Linked DNA regions of Alligator mississippiensis. The main gene of each other region encodes a partner of the protein of the gene in region 3 in a complex. Links are inferred from orthologs where the notes say so. Each region holds a gene or a part of one and is shown on either strand. Other genes may lie near its edges.

The links.
Region 1: SNRPD3 (region 3) and SNRPG share a complex: the UniProt entries of both Homo sapiens proteins name them as parts of the U7 snRNP complex. The link is inferred for Alligator mississippiensis from reciprocal best matches to the Homo sapiens genes SNRPD3 and SNRPG.
Region 2: SNRPD3 (region 3) and CRIPT share a complex: the UniProt entries of both Homo sapiens proteins name them as parts of the minor spliceosome. The link is inferred for Alligator mississippiensis from reciprocal best matches to the Homo sapiens genes SNRPD3 and CRIPT.

What each region holds. Positions count from the first base shown.
Region 1 is NC_081830.1:13,252,596-13,256,339, reverse strand, and holds the start of SNRPG (small nuclear ribonucleoprotein G), read right to left. Parts: upstream 2,945-3,744; 5' UTR 2,867-2,944; intron 2,861-2,866; exon of another isoform or gene 2,772-2,860; intron 2,090-2,771; 5' UTR 2,033-2,089; coding exon 2,001-2,032; intron 551-2,000; coding exon 528-550; intron 1-527. UniProt on the Homo sapiens protein: Plays a role in pre-mRNA splicing as a core component of the spliceosomal U1, U2, U4 and U5 small nuclear ribonucleoproteins (snRNPs), the building blocks of the spliceosome.
Region 2 is NC_081824.1:199,220,450-199,224,193, forward strand, and holds the start of CRIPT (cysteine-rich PDZ-binding protein), read left to right. Parts: upstream 1-1,012; 5' UTR 1,013-1,095; coding exon 1,096-1,111; intron 1,112-2,464; coding exon 2,465-2,530; intron 2,531-3,744. UniProt on the Homo sapiens protein: As a component of the minor spliceosome, involved in the splicing of U12-type introns in pre-mRNAs. Involved in the cytoskeletal anchoring of DLG4 in excitatory synapses.
Region 3 is NC_081833.1:19,338,019-19,341,762, forward strand, and holds the start of SNRPD3 (small nuclear ribonucleoprotein Sm D3), read right to left. Parts: upstream 2,898-3,744; 5' UTR 2,865-2,897; intron 2,565-2,864; exon of another isoform or gene 2,470-2,564; intron 2,310-2,469; 5' UTR 2,287-2,309; coding exon 2,161-2,286; intron 1,286-2,160; coding exon 1,093-1,285; intron 1-1,092. Other genes in the region: protein GUCD1, read left to right, coding at 3,140-3,470. UniProt on the Homo sapiens protein: Plays a role in pre-mRNA splicing as a core component of the spliceosomal U1, U2, U4 and U5 small nuclear ribonucleoproteins (snRNPs), the building blocks of the spliceosome.

The DNA.
Region 1 (3,744 bases), on a different chromosome or scaffold from region 3:
AATACCGCTGAAGTCATTGTAGCTTGAAAAAAAATTAAAAAGCTTCACTACACTGTAGAAGTAAAGAATCACCAATAACAGGAAGCATTTTGCCACCCTACAACTTCATGTACTGAAATGCAGCATCATTTTCAGAAAGGCAGCCAACATTAGCAAACTCTGAACTGCTAATTCAATCATGATACTCTTCAAAATGCAGGAATCAAGTCACCCCTTTTTCATGCTGACCAGATTTATGGCACCACTGCCTTTCATTCCTCCACTTAGATTAGGAACACTATGGAGAGAGACTGTCTTTTTATTCTGTATTTGCCTGTGTCTTTTACAGCAATGAGCAATACAGCAATAGGACCACATCCTCAAAGACCCTCACTTCTGTTAGCTCTCTCTCACAGCACAGTACATTCCCCTGCAACTCCCATGGGAAGACAGCACCCAGGGAAGGCTGCTGACTGGAACCAACATGCAAAGCATTGCTACACAGATGTCTAAAAAGCAGGACCTCAGAAGTGATAGAAATAACTCACATGACAGTTTTTTGTCCATGAACCTGCAATGAAAAAAAACAGAGAAGAAGCCGTCAGCCGTTATTCACAGATCTGGACTGAAAAAAATTACTCTAGATCAGGGGTGTCACCAACATGAGCTGCAGAGGAGCGAGCAGGGGCTGCACCAACACAGCCCAGCTGGTCCCTTGGCTGCTCACTCTGGAGCCTCCACTGGCCACTGCTTCTGCCCTCTGTACCCAGCCCAGGCAGAGCCTGGGCAGGGCCTGTGTATGCGGGTGGGTGGCGAGTGGCCGGAGCGTAAAGCCGGTGGTGTGTGGAGTGGTTGCACCCTCAGCATGTGGACAGAGCCGTTGACACAGGGCCCCCCAAAGCGTGGGGTCCGGGGCAGTTGCCCCAATTCACCCCTCCCCACAAGGGACATCTCTGAGCCCAAGACATGGGAAGAGCCCAATACCCTCTGCGCTAGACCAGGAGACACCCATGAGCTCACTCCATCCCCTTTGCCCTGGCTTGTAACCCTCCAGAGGGGCCACAATTTCTTCACACTGCCAAGAGGCCATTCCTAGTTTGGGGCACTGACCCAGGGCAGGCAACCGACCCCTGTTCCCTGCACAGTCTAGGTCAGGGATGGGCAAAGTCTGGCCCGCAGGCCAGATCCAGTCAGCAGCGAACTCCATTTCCCAGCACGGTTGGGGACGGTCTCCATGGAGACCAGCCACAGCCACACTGGCAGGGCTCCTGGCAAAGCAGGGCAGGGAGCTGTCCCACAGCCACTGGGATCTTCCCATAGTGGTAGCTTGCTCTGGAGACAGCGCAGAGCCACGATCCCTAGCCTGCACACCCCTGCCCAGAGTATGCAGGCTACAGATCGTGGCTCTGCCCTGGCTCCAGAGCAAGCTGCCCTTGCCGCACAATCCCAGGGGCTCTGGAACAGCCCCCTGCCCTGCTCTGACACTAGCCCGGGCCTGGTCTCCACGGCAACCCCAGCCTGGAGATTTCACAGCACAACCATAGCTGAGGTCTCCATGGAGACTGGCCCCAGCCATGCAGGCAGCAGCTGCTGGGAAATGGGAGTCCAGCTGCTGGCTGAATCAGCCATTTTGCCTCCCCTTGGTGTACCCCACTCCCCAGACAACATATTCCACCAGACACCCCCTCCCTCCCAGACATGCCCCTGCCACCAGTTACCCCCTCCCTCCACACCATGAACCCAGGAGGCTTGAAGCCCCAGCTGCCCTGCTGTTATCCCAACAGCTACTGGGGGCCTGGCTTCCCCTAGCAAAGGAAAGGTGAGGGGTGGAGGGAGAGCAGGACCCCAGTACATAGAGCCACATGGGAGGGGAACCACATGCTCAGCAGGGCTGGGGGACCATGTGGGGTGGGGAAGCCTTGGTGGGCAGGAGCCGCAGGCCAGAACAAGGTGCATGCCAGGATGCAGGGGGATGCAAGAATACGGAGTTCTCTTCCACCCCGCTCCCATCCTCCACTCACTTCTTGAGCTCAGGCGGGTGCGCTTTGCTCATGGTGCCTGCTCCCTCGGTGCCACCACAACTGCCTCACACTCAGAAATGGTTGCTCTACTGAAGGAAAAAAAAAACATAAAAAAACATTTACATTGTAAACTATATACTAATATAAAGCACTTTACGCTGCATTTCGAAACAGCAATCAGACAGGATCGAGTGAAAACTACAAAAGAGAAACAGCAAAAATGTATAAGCGCATAAGAAAACTGCATTTGTCCACTGTGAACCGTAGCTTGTCGTTAGCCACAGGAACGGTGTGCGTTCCTGCAAAATAACCACAGCTTTCTTGTTCGAGATGGAGTGAAAAAATATGACAGGCCCAGTAGCTAAACCTGACTTGGGGAATATCTCATTAATAGCCTGAGAAACACCATTTAAGTGTGCAAGTCAGCCAGCTATCAAGGTGTTCACCCATAGATGCTACCCCTGCCACACACACACACACACACACACTTCTGATAAGTCAGGAAGTCGCGCAGTGTAAGGTGAAAGCTTTGTAAGACAGGAACTGAAAACCGAGCTGTGACTTTCCCCTAAAGGCAAGCTGAAAAGCAAGGCATCTCGGCTGCTCCGCCATGTCCAGAGAAGGCCCATGGCTACATCGAGGCGTTACTTGGGACAACGCTGAAACCCCACGTGCCGGCCCCCGCCGGGAACAGCATACGCTGCCATTGCCAGTGCGGCCCCGGCCCGCGGGGAAGCGGCGGCGCCCGCAGCCGCATCCGCGCCCACGTACCGCCGGAGGCTGCAGCTGGTGCCTGAGCTCGGGTCCCGCCAGCGCCGCGTGAGGAGAGCCGGGATTTCGCGCCGAAAGGGCGAAGGGGAACGCACCTCACCGCCAATGGCGCCGCGCCGCGCTGCAGCCTGGGAGGACGGGGCGGGGATGCAAACCACACCCCTCCGCCGCCGGCCCCGCCCCGCCCCGCCCCGCCCCCCCGGCTGACCCGCGGCCAATATAGATATTACAGTGTTCAGCTCCTAACACAGAGAAGCGGGGGTGTAGGGTCGTTCAGGCAGGGACAAGCCTGGCCATGACTTATTTGTTTGTGGCACCCTTCACAGGATCTGGTGGCACCAGAGGGTGGCTCAGCGCCCCGGCTGAGAATTGCTAGTCTGATGCAATGGATTTTGTGAGAAAAGAGGTGTTTTGATTAAATGCCTCAAAGAACTTTGCTTCTTATCACGAAGTAAATCTGCCTCGCGCATGACACCCGCGCCAGCGGCCGATCGCGACGTTGGGTGGGAACTCTAGTGGAGCCAATAAGTACCAATCAGGCCTGTCAGGGTGGGCCACAACCCCCCTATAATCCCTTGAGTAGAGGCCGTGAGAACATTCAAAACTCAAAGCACGAGGTAGCTGCAATGCTGCTGAATGCACATCCTGACGGGGCGTGGTTTCATCGTTGGTCGGGTCGGAAGGGACCTGAGCAGATCATCAAGTCCGACCCCCTGCCGTGGCAGGAAAGAGCACTGGGGGCAAACGACCCTGGCAGGGTGTTCTCTTAAAGACCCCCAGAGTAGGAGCCAGCACCACTTCTCTTGGAAGTTGGTTCCAGGTCCTAGCCACCCTGACAGTGAAGTAGCGCCTCCTGATATCTAGTCTGAATCTACCCTCTGCCAGCTTGTGACCGTTATTTCTAGTCACTCCTGGGAGTGCTCGGGGGAACAGGGACTCCCCCAGTGCCTGCTGGTCTCCTCTGACTAGTTTG
Region 2 (3,744 bases), on a different chromosome or scaffold from region 3:
ACACTGCTGTGGTTGAAAACAGGAGGGAGCCCCCAGAGCTTCCCCAACATCCCTCTGGTGACAGAGTGCTGGTGTGGGGCTGGCAGCACAGATGTGCACCCTCGCCAGGCCATGGCCTACCAGTGCAAGGAAGTGGCTGATGTGTACGTGTAAGTGTATGCATAGGTACAGGAGCATGTGCAAGTATGCATACACGTGCAGGTGTGTGTGTATGCATGTGTGTGCAAATGTGTGCGTGCATACATGTATGCATACAGGTATGTGTATGCAACCATGGGCACGAGTGCAGGAGTTAGTGCATGTGTAGGCATACATGTATGTGCAAGTGTGTGCATGTGTATACATAGGCAGGCTATGTTCTTTGAATAGATGTGATCTCTTTTATTAGACCAACAGAGCGGTTGGAAAAATGTTTTTGGCAAGCTTTGGGGTGCAATCACCCTTCTTCAGGAAAGGAGAGTCTCTGCTGATCAGAGACTCCCCATATATATGTATACACCCACGTATGTGTAGGTGCACATGTGTGTAAGCGTACATGTGCATATATGCAGTGTGTGGGTATGCATGTGTGTGTCTGTTCAAGTGTGCAGTGTGTGCAGGTGCATGTATGTGTAAGTATGTGTGGGTGTATATGTACATGTATACAATCTGCGTGTGCATACTGGCACATGTACATGCATGCAAGTGAGGGTGCGGCCGGCAGGTGTGTGTGAGTATACATGTGTGCTTCCGTGCCTACGCACAGGCTAGGCCAGGTCTGCATCACCACGACACTCTTGTCACAGGCAGGGTGCGTGAAGACGAGTTGCAGAGGGGGGAGGGGGGGGATCCCGGCCGTTGCCCGCCCCACCCCCCGCTCTCACCTGCGTCTCCCCCGCGCCGCCGCTCCTCGAGCCCGAGGTCAAAGGTCACCAGCCACCGCCCCCTCACCCGTACACAGCGCACAGGCGGCGATCCGTGAACAGGCGCCGGCCGGTGATGGACGGCTTGCGGCGGCCAATCCGCGCGAGGGCCGGGTCGGGCCGGGGGCGGGACAGGAAGTGCGCGCCGGGAAGTGCAGCTGTCAGTGTTTACCTCCCCGCCGCCGCCATCACTATGGTCTGCGAGAAGTGTGAGTGCACAGGGCCCTGCCTCCCTGTCCCGCGGGGCCGATCCCCATCCCCCGGGGGGGAGGGGCCGGGGCAACGCTGGCTGCCATCGGCAGCACTCACCCACCCCTAACCCCCTTCTTCCGGGCTGCATTCGGCCTCGGGAGCCCGGCTCCGCCCCCTCGCAGCCCCCGGACCGGGATTGCCCCCCCCTAGGGCTACCATATTTCCAGGTCCAAAAAGAGGACACCTGTCACGGGTGGGGAGTGACCTGCCCCTGCCCCTGCCAGACAAAGCTAACCCCCTGAAGCCCTGCTGCTTCCCCTCCCCTCACTCTGGACCCACTGACCCCCGCCCTGCCAGTGCCCTTCACTCCCACCCCCCAGTCCCCTGCTCCCTCCCAGTCCTGGTGGTGACCCTCACTCCATGACCCCCACAGTGCTGCCAGTGTCCCTCACTGTGGACCTGTAGCCTCTGCCCCCCCAGCTCTGCTGGTGCCCCTCACTCTTGACCTGCAGACCCCTGCCTCCCCTGCCCTGCTGCCCAAGCAGCTCCTGCATTGCGAGCATGCCCGTGTGCTCTCTCGCTCTTTCTGGTTACACCTGGCTTGTTGAAGCTGGTGTGGGGAGCATGTGGCCCCTGACAGCCAATCGCCTTGCCCAGCTTGGAGCAGCCAGCCCTGGAAAGGAGAAAAACTGGACATTTGCTATTATTTTAAAAACCTGCCCGGATGCAGCATAGGAGTCAAAAAAGAGGACATATCCAGGAAAACCCAGAGATATGGGAACTCTAGTACCTGGAGCCTGGTCCCAACCCTTCGTATCTCCCTTAGGCCAGAATTGGCCCCTGGGAGCCTGGCTCCACCCCCACCCCTGGCTGGGATTGCGCCTTGGGAACTTGCCTTCCTCCATCTCCACTGAGATTGGGCTGCCAGGAGCCTGGCCCCGACACCCTCGTAGCCTCTCTGGCCAGGATTGGGCCCTGGGGGTGGGCACTGCCCTGCCTGGCTCTGCAGACTGTGGTGGGGCCCAGTCCAGTGCAGGGCCTGGGGCTCCCCACAGGCCTGGGAGTTTGGCCATAGGGGAGCAGTGCCACAGCCCCCCACCACCCTATTTCCAGACCTGTGGGGAGCCCACGGGCCGATGGCATGACACCGTGGGCTGGGGGTTGAGCTCCCGTGTTACAGTGCACGCCCCTTCACAGAGGGGCCCCAACAGGGACAAGCCTGAGCCTGCAGCTGTATCTGCTTATCCCTTCCCACCTCGGGGTACTTGGGGGTACCCTGCTTGGGGCTTGTGGCTTTAGTAGAAACCTTCTTTTTGGCATTTTCACTTACATCTCCTTGCTTTTTCCTCTTCTGTCTTTTTGTGCCATAGGTGAGAAGAAACTGGGCACTGTGATTACCCCTGACACGTGGAAGGATGGGGCTAGAAACACTACAGGTACTCTTTTTACTTTATTTGTTTATTTGAAGTATTTTTAAGCATTTACTTAGAGAAATCGTAGTATTCATTACTCAGTAAGCATTGAACCAGTTAGGTAATTAAAAGGCTCTGTGAAGCATCTTACAGCTCTGACAGCATGAAGCAGCTGGCCTGTTCCTTTTCTTCACTTTAACGTACTGCAGCTTCTTTTTCATTTTCTGTGGGAAATGTCACAATTCTGACTTCTCGGTACTGCATTCCTCCAGCCATGATTTGTTCCAGTGTGAAGTAATGATACTTATCATGTGTATTGACGTATGTGTGTACTGGAGAAGTGCATAATTCACCTAATGGAATAATACAGTGCCAGTCTCAGTTTTACACTGCAACAAATGTCAGTCAGCCTCTTGGCTAATCATATAAATTATGCCTGCCTAGGAACCTTTTTGGCCTGGTGTCTTTGTAATATACTCTGTTTAACTGCATAAGAATCGGTGACATTAACTAGCAGCAAAACTGACTAGCAGCTCAATTGTCAGGCTTTTAAGAGCAACCCAGAAACTAGCTTGGTCCTGTCAGGTTGAAGACTCTTGTTAGAGACATAAGGGCTCTGAGTAGCAAAGTAAAGAGACTTAATGAAGTGCAAGCTTCTCAGTGCAAGGCATTTTGTCTGAATTTATTAACTAATTCATCTTATATAGTGCCTTTAGTATTGAAATCAGTAGGCTTATACTGTACTTTGCACACGAGTTATTGTCTTCTGTAGCTGTTGGGTGTTTTTTAGGTTAAATTCAGATGAGTGAAAACTTATACTTTTTAGTGCCAAGGTATGTACTTTCATGGACTACGTTGCTTAAACAGAACATAAAGTCCTTTTGTTGCCTCACATTTTAGTCCTAATATGTATACAATATTCAGTTTCTACCTGCCAGCTTTGCTTTTAATTGCGTATTCTAAGACTTGGCTTTGAATTTGCTGTTCTTTGAGCTGACTAGTTAGTCTGCATACATTTGGTTATTCTTGGCCATTTATAGGCCTTTGGCTTGTATGTTGCCTCATGCCATCACATATTTAGTAGTTAAAAAAATCCATATCCTAAACAAACAAATACTAGCTTTAAAATAGGATGATGAAGTATAATTCAATATTTACACTCCTATGAGAGAAAGGAGGGGGTACTAGTAGTTCAGGCACAGGACTTTAGATGGGAAACTACTAGGAACTTCCATTTC
Region 3 (3,744 bases):
AAGTGCACTGATACATTGGTCCGATATCGGATAAGCACTGGCATAAAGAAAATTGAACGTAAACCGGAAATTGGCTTGATGTGGCCAATAATTTGGCTGATAAATGCCTGTGTGCGCGCATAGCTACAGTGCAGTGCACAGTCAGCAAGGAGCACAGACTGGCAGCTTGGAGAGCTGTGTGCAGCTAGTAAGTCTGGTGTGGTAGAAGGGATGGGAAGGGGAGGGGGGAGGGCAGATCAAAAGGTCCCTGCCATGAGGGAGAAGTGAGGCTGGGGCAAGAGGTGCCCAGCTGGGACAAGGCGGGCACAGGATGGAGCTGCAGCTTGTCTTGGGTGCATGGGGCAGCTCCCACCATTGCACGCTGCTTGTCAAGGAGTCACCGGTCCAGCATTTGCCCAGTGGCTCCCACCACTCATCCGGGAGGGCATGGGGGAAGGGGGGCATGTGCCCCCAGATCTGGGAGGGGCTCTTCCCAGCCCATCACACCCAGATCGGGGGGGGGGGAATGCCACCCCCACCCCCTAGACGAGCAGCAGGAGCAGTGGTGTGAGCTGCCAGGCGAGTGCCAGCCCAGTGGCTCCCGGACAAGCCACAGCTCCATCCCACACCCTCCCCAGTTGGGCAGCACTTACCCCAGCCCCAGACCTACTCCTTCCCTCACTGCGGGGTCATTGATCTGCTCCTCCTGGCCCCTTCCACCACAACAGACTCAGCAGCTGCACACAGCTCTCCAAGCTGCTGGGCTGGTATCAGAAGTCCGATCAATACCAGCAGATGCCTCCTGAAAAGAGTCAGCTATTGGTACTTGCCTCAAAAAAAAAAAAAAATCTTCATCAGCGTACTTCCTAGGTTGTTTCTGGGGATGTGTTGTTTTTGTTTTTTAAATGAAGCACTACAAAATTTATACTGACAAACTGAAGTCCAAACTACTCAATCATTTAATTTGCACCGCAGGTTGGCAACTAAACTCCCAACTTTTATATTTTAATAATAAATTATACCAAGCCACTTGTGCTGAAGTATTCTCGATGCATCCATTTTACCATGTCAGTACGTTATCAGAAAAGCTAAGAACCAACTAGAAGTACTTACCTTGGGCTTTGAGAATAGCTGCTTTGCCTCGTCCAGCCCCCGAACCCTGGTTTTTATTCTTCATGCTCTTTAACATAGGAGCATTTTTCAACATGTCTGGCAAAATGAGGAACCGGATCTTGCTACCCCTAATGTACACCTGCTCCAGCTGTGCCACTCGCCCATCTCTGTATGTCACTGTGATATTGGACATCTGGAAGACAAAAGCTACTCAATACTTCTGACACAATGAGTTTTACCTCCAGAATTCGGGTGTGGAGTCTAGAAATAGGAAGAGCTGTTTGGGTCTAGTACACAGCAGATTTAAATTAGTTGAGCATGTAAATAACATGATGGGGAAAGAGAGAAGAGACCAAGCTACATAGCCTAGTACTTAATGAACAGCCAAGTGTTGCACAGCTGTAAATCCAGCTTGAAAGCAACAGACTGCCTTGTAGAACATTTAAATACTCTTCTTTCCTCCTGCATGTGTCAGACTGGGCATTTTAAGTCATCCGCACACTCATCTATTCACAGTATCCCAGAGGAGGGAGACTGTCCACATGGTGGCTTAAGTGTTAACACTTTAACTAGAGTAACTGCAACACATCCTGTTCCTTCGACTAACCAAATCAGAGACTTCAGGCTAACGTGGTTAACCACCTCCACACAGGCTTCTTTATAGAAAAAGATGTTTTCATGCTTCATTACTTCCATCAGCCAAGGAAATACTTTGCTCAATGTGAACATTTGGCCTCAAATCAGCCACAGTGAAGCCCCAGCCCGATTTGACACACTTTTCAAAAAAAGGCAATTATAAAATAAACTTAGGGGAAAAAAATTTCTTCTGGGGAAGGAAGGAAGAACTCAAGCTGGCTGATGATATGAGAAGCTCTTGTCACCAGCACCACATACTCAGACCTGGTAAAAGGATAAGTGTCTGTTTATGGTAGAAACAGAAGCGGCCTCAGAAGCAAGCTGAGATGTGCAGCTCCCTGCTTTCCGCTTCAGCACTGCAGTGTTTTACCAACCCTAAGCCCGTCACTCAGACAAGCACCTGAGGTAGAGTAGGGGCCTCACCCGGCCTACCTGGCAGTTCATGTTGTCCTCGGCCTCGATGAGCTTGCCCCGATACACCTCCCCCGTGTTAGTCTCGCACGTCACGATGTGGCCCTCGGCCTCGTGCAGCACCTTGATGGGCACCCCGATCGACATCCCAGCGGCGGCGCGGCTCTACCCTGCGGGAGAGAACAAGACAAGGCGGGGGCGGTCAGCGCCTCCCGCGGGCTCTGCCCGGGGTCCCGTCACGGCAGAAGGCGCCTCGACGCGCTCTGGGGAAACAAATACGCCGCCCCTAAGAGACGCCAACCGCGGCCAACTCCCCCGGCCGCCACCCACCGTTAGCACGAAGCTCACAACGTGCGGCCCGCAGCAGCGCTCTAATGGCCTCTCGCACTTCCCGCCCTGCCCCGCGCGCCGGAACCGGAAGTCCGGCGTCCAGCTCTAAGCCGCGGCGCCCCGGCTCTATGGTCGAACGGGGACGCGCCACTCGGGTGTCCCCGCGCTAAGGGGCCGGCGGGACGCGGCGGCCAGGGGGAAGGTTCCGCCCGCGTCCTGCTCCCGCCTCCCCCCGCCGAGTGGCGACAGGGTGCCTCCGCCCACGCACGCCATGCGCCCTCGGCAGCAGCGTGCCCCACCCGGCCCCGGGCACTTGCACAGGAGCCCCCTCATGCCCCCTCTCCCTGTGGGGCGCGGGGAGAAGCCCCTTCGGCGACCGCCCGTGGCCCCCCGACCTGTCCCGGTGCAGCTGGGCGCGCACGGTCCCCTTCCCGCTCCTCCCCCTCCCGCCTGGGCCGCCCCCGGCCCCGCCCCGCCCCGCCCGACAGCAGCGCCGGGGCGCGCAAAAGGCGGCGGCGCCGGCATGAGGGGACCCCCGCAGCCCGGCTCGGCCCCCGGCCACTGAGGCGGCGCCATGAAGAGCCCCCGGGAGGCCGGGCCGCCGCCCGCCGAGCCGAGGCCGGGGCCGGGGCCGGGGCCGCCCGCAGGTCAGTGCGGCCCGCCCGCCGGGATGGGGCAGCGGCTGCGGGCGGCTCCCCGCGCTGCCCGGCCCTGGGAGGCCTCCAGCGCCGCGGGCCCCGGGGGTGGGGGCGAGGATTTGTGTCCGCAGCCTGCTCCGCCTCCGGCCTTGCTGCCGGCCGGCCCCGTACGGGCTCGGCGACGCGGGCAAGAGGCTCCCGGCATCCATCCAGGAGACTCGGCCAAGCCTCGGGCTTCACTTGTTGCTGCTCCGCGCTGCTGCAGGGCCGAGGCTTGTCCGCTGCGCCGGGGTCCGCGGCCAGCGCAGCCCGCGCTCTGGGTCGGCCCCCCGGTCCCTGCTGTCTGGCCGGGGCAGAGAGCAGGTGCTGACGGGGAGGGCGACCCGGGTCTGATGTCCCGCTGTGCCTCTCCCACTTGTAGCCTCCAGGATTTGCGGTCGAGGCATCCCTGGTTCACAGCCGCCAGCCCCCGCTCCCGCGCTCAGTAGCAACTGACTGCTGTCCCTTCCCTCCAAGGACCCGTTGTCCCCTGGCCGTGGGCAGGGTGCTCCACCCTGCCAGAGAGCGAGCCTCCTTCTGTTCATTTTAAACTGACTACCGACTCGTTTTAGTTTGTGACAAATGATTCATACCTTCC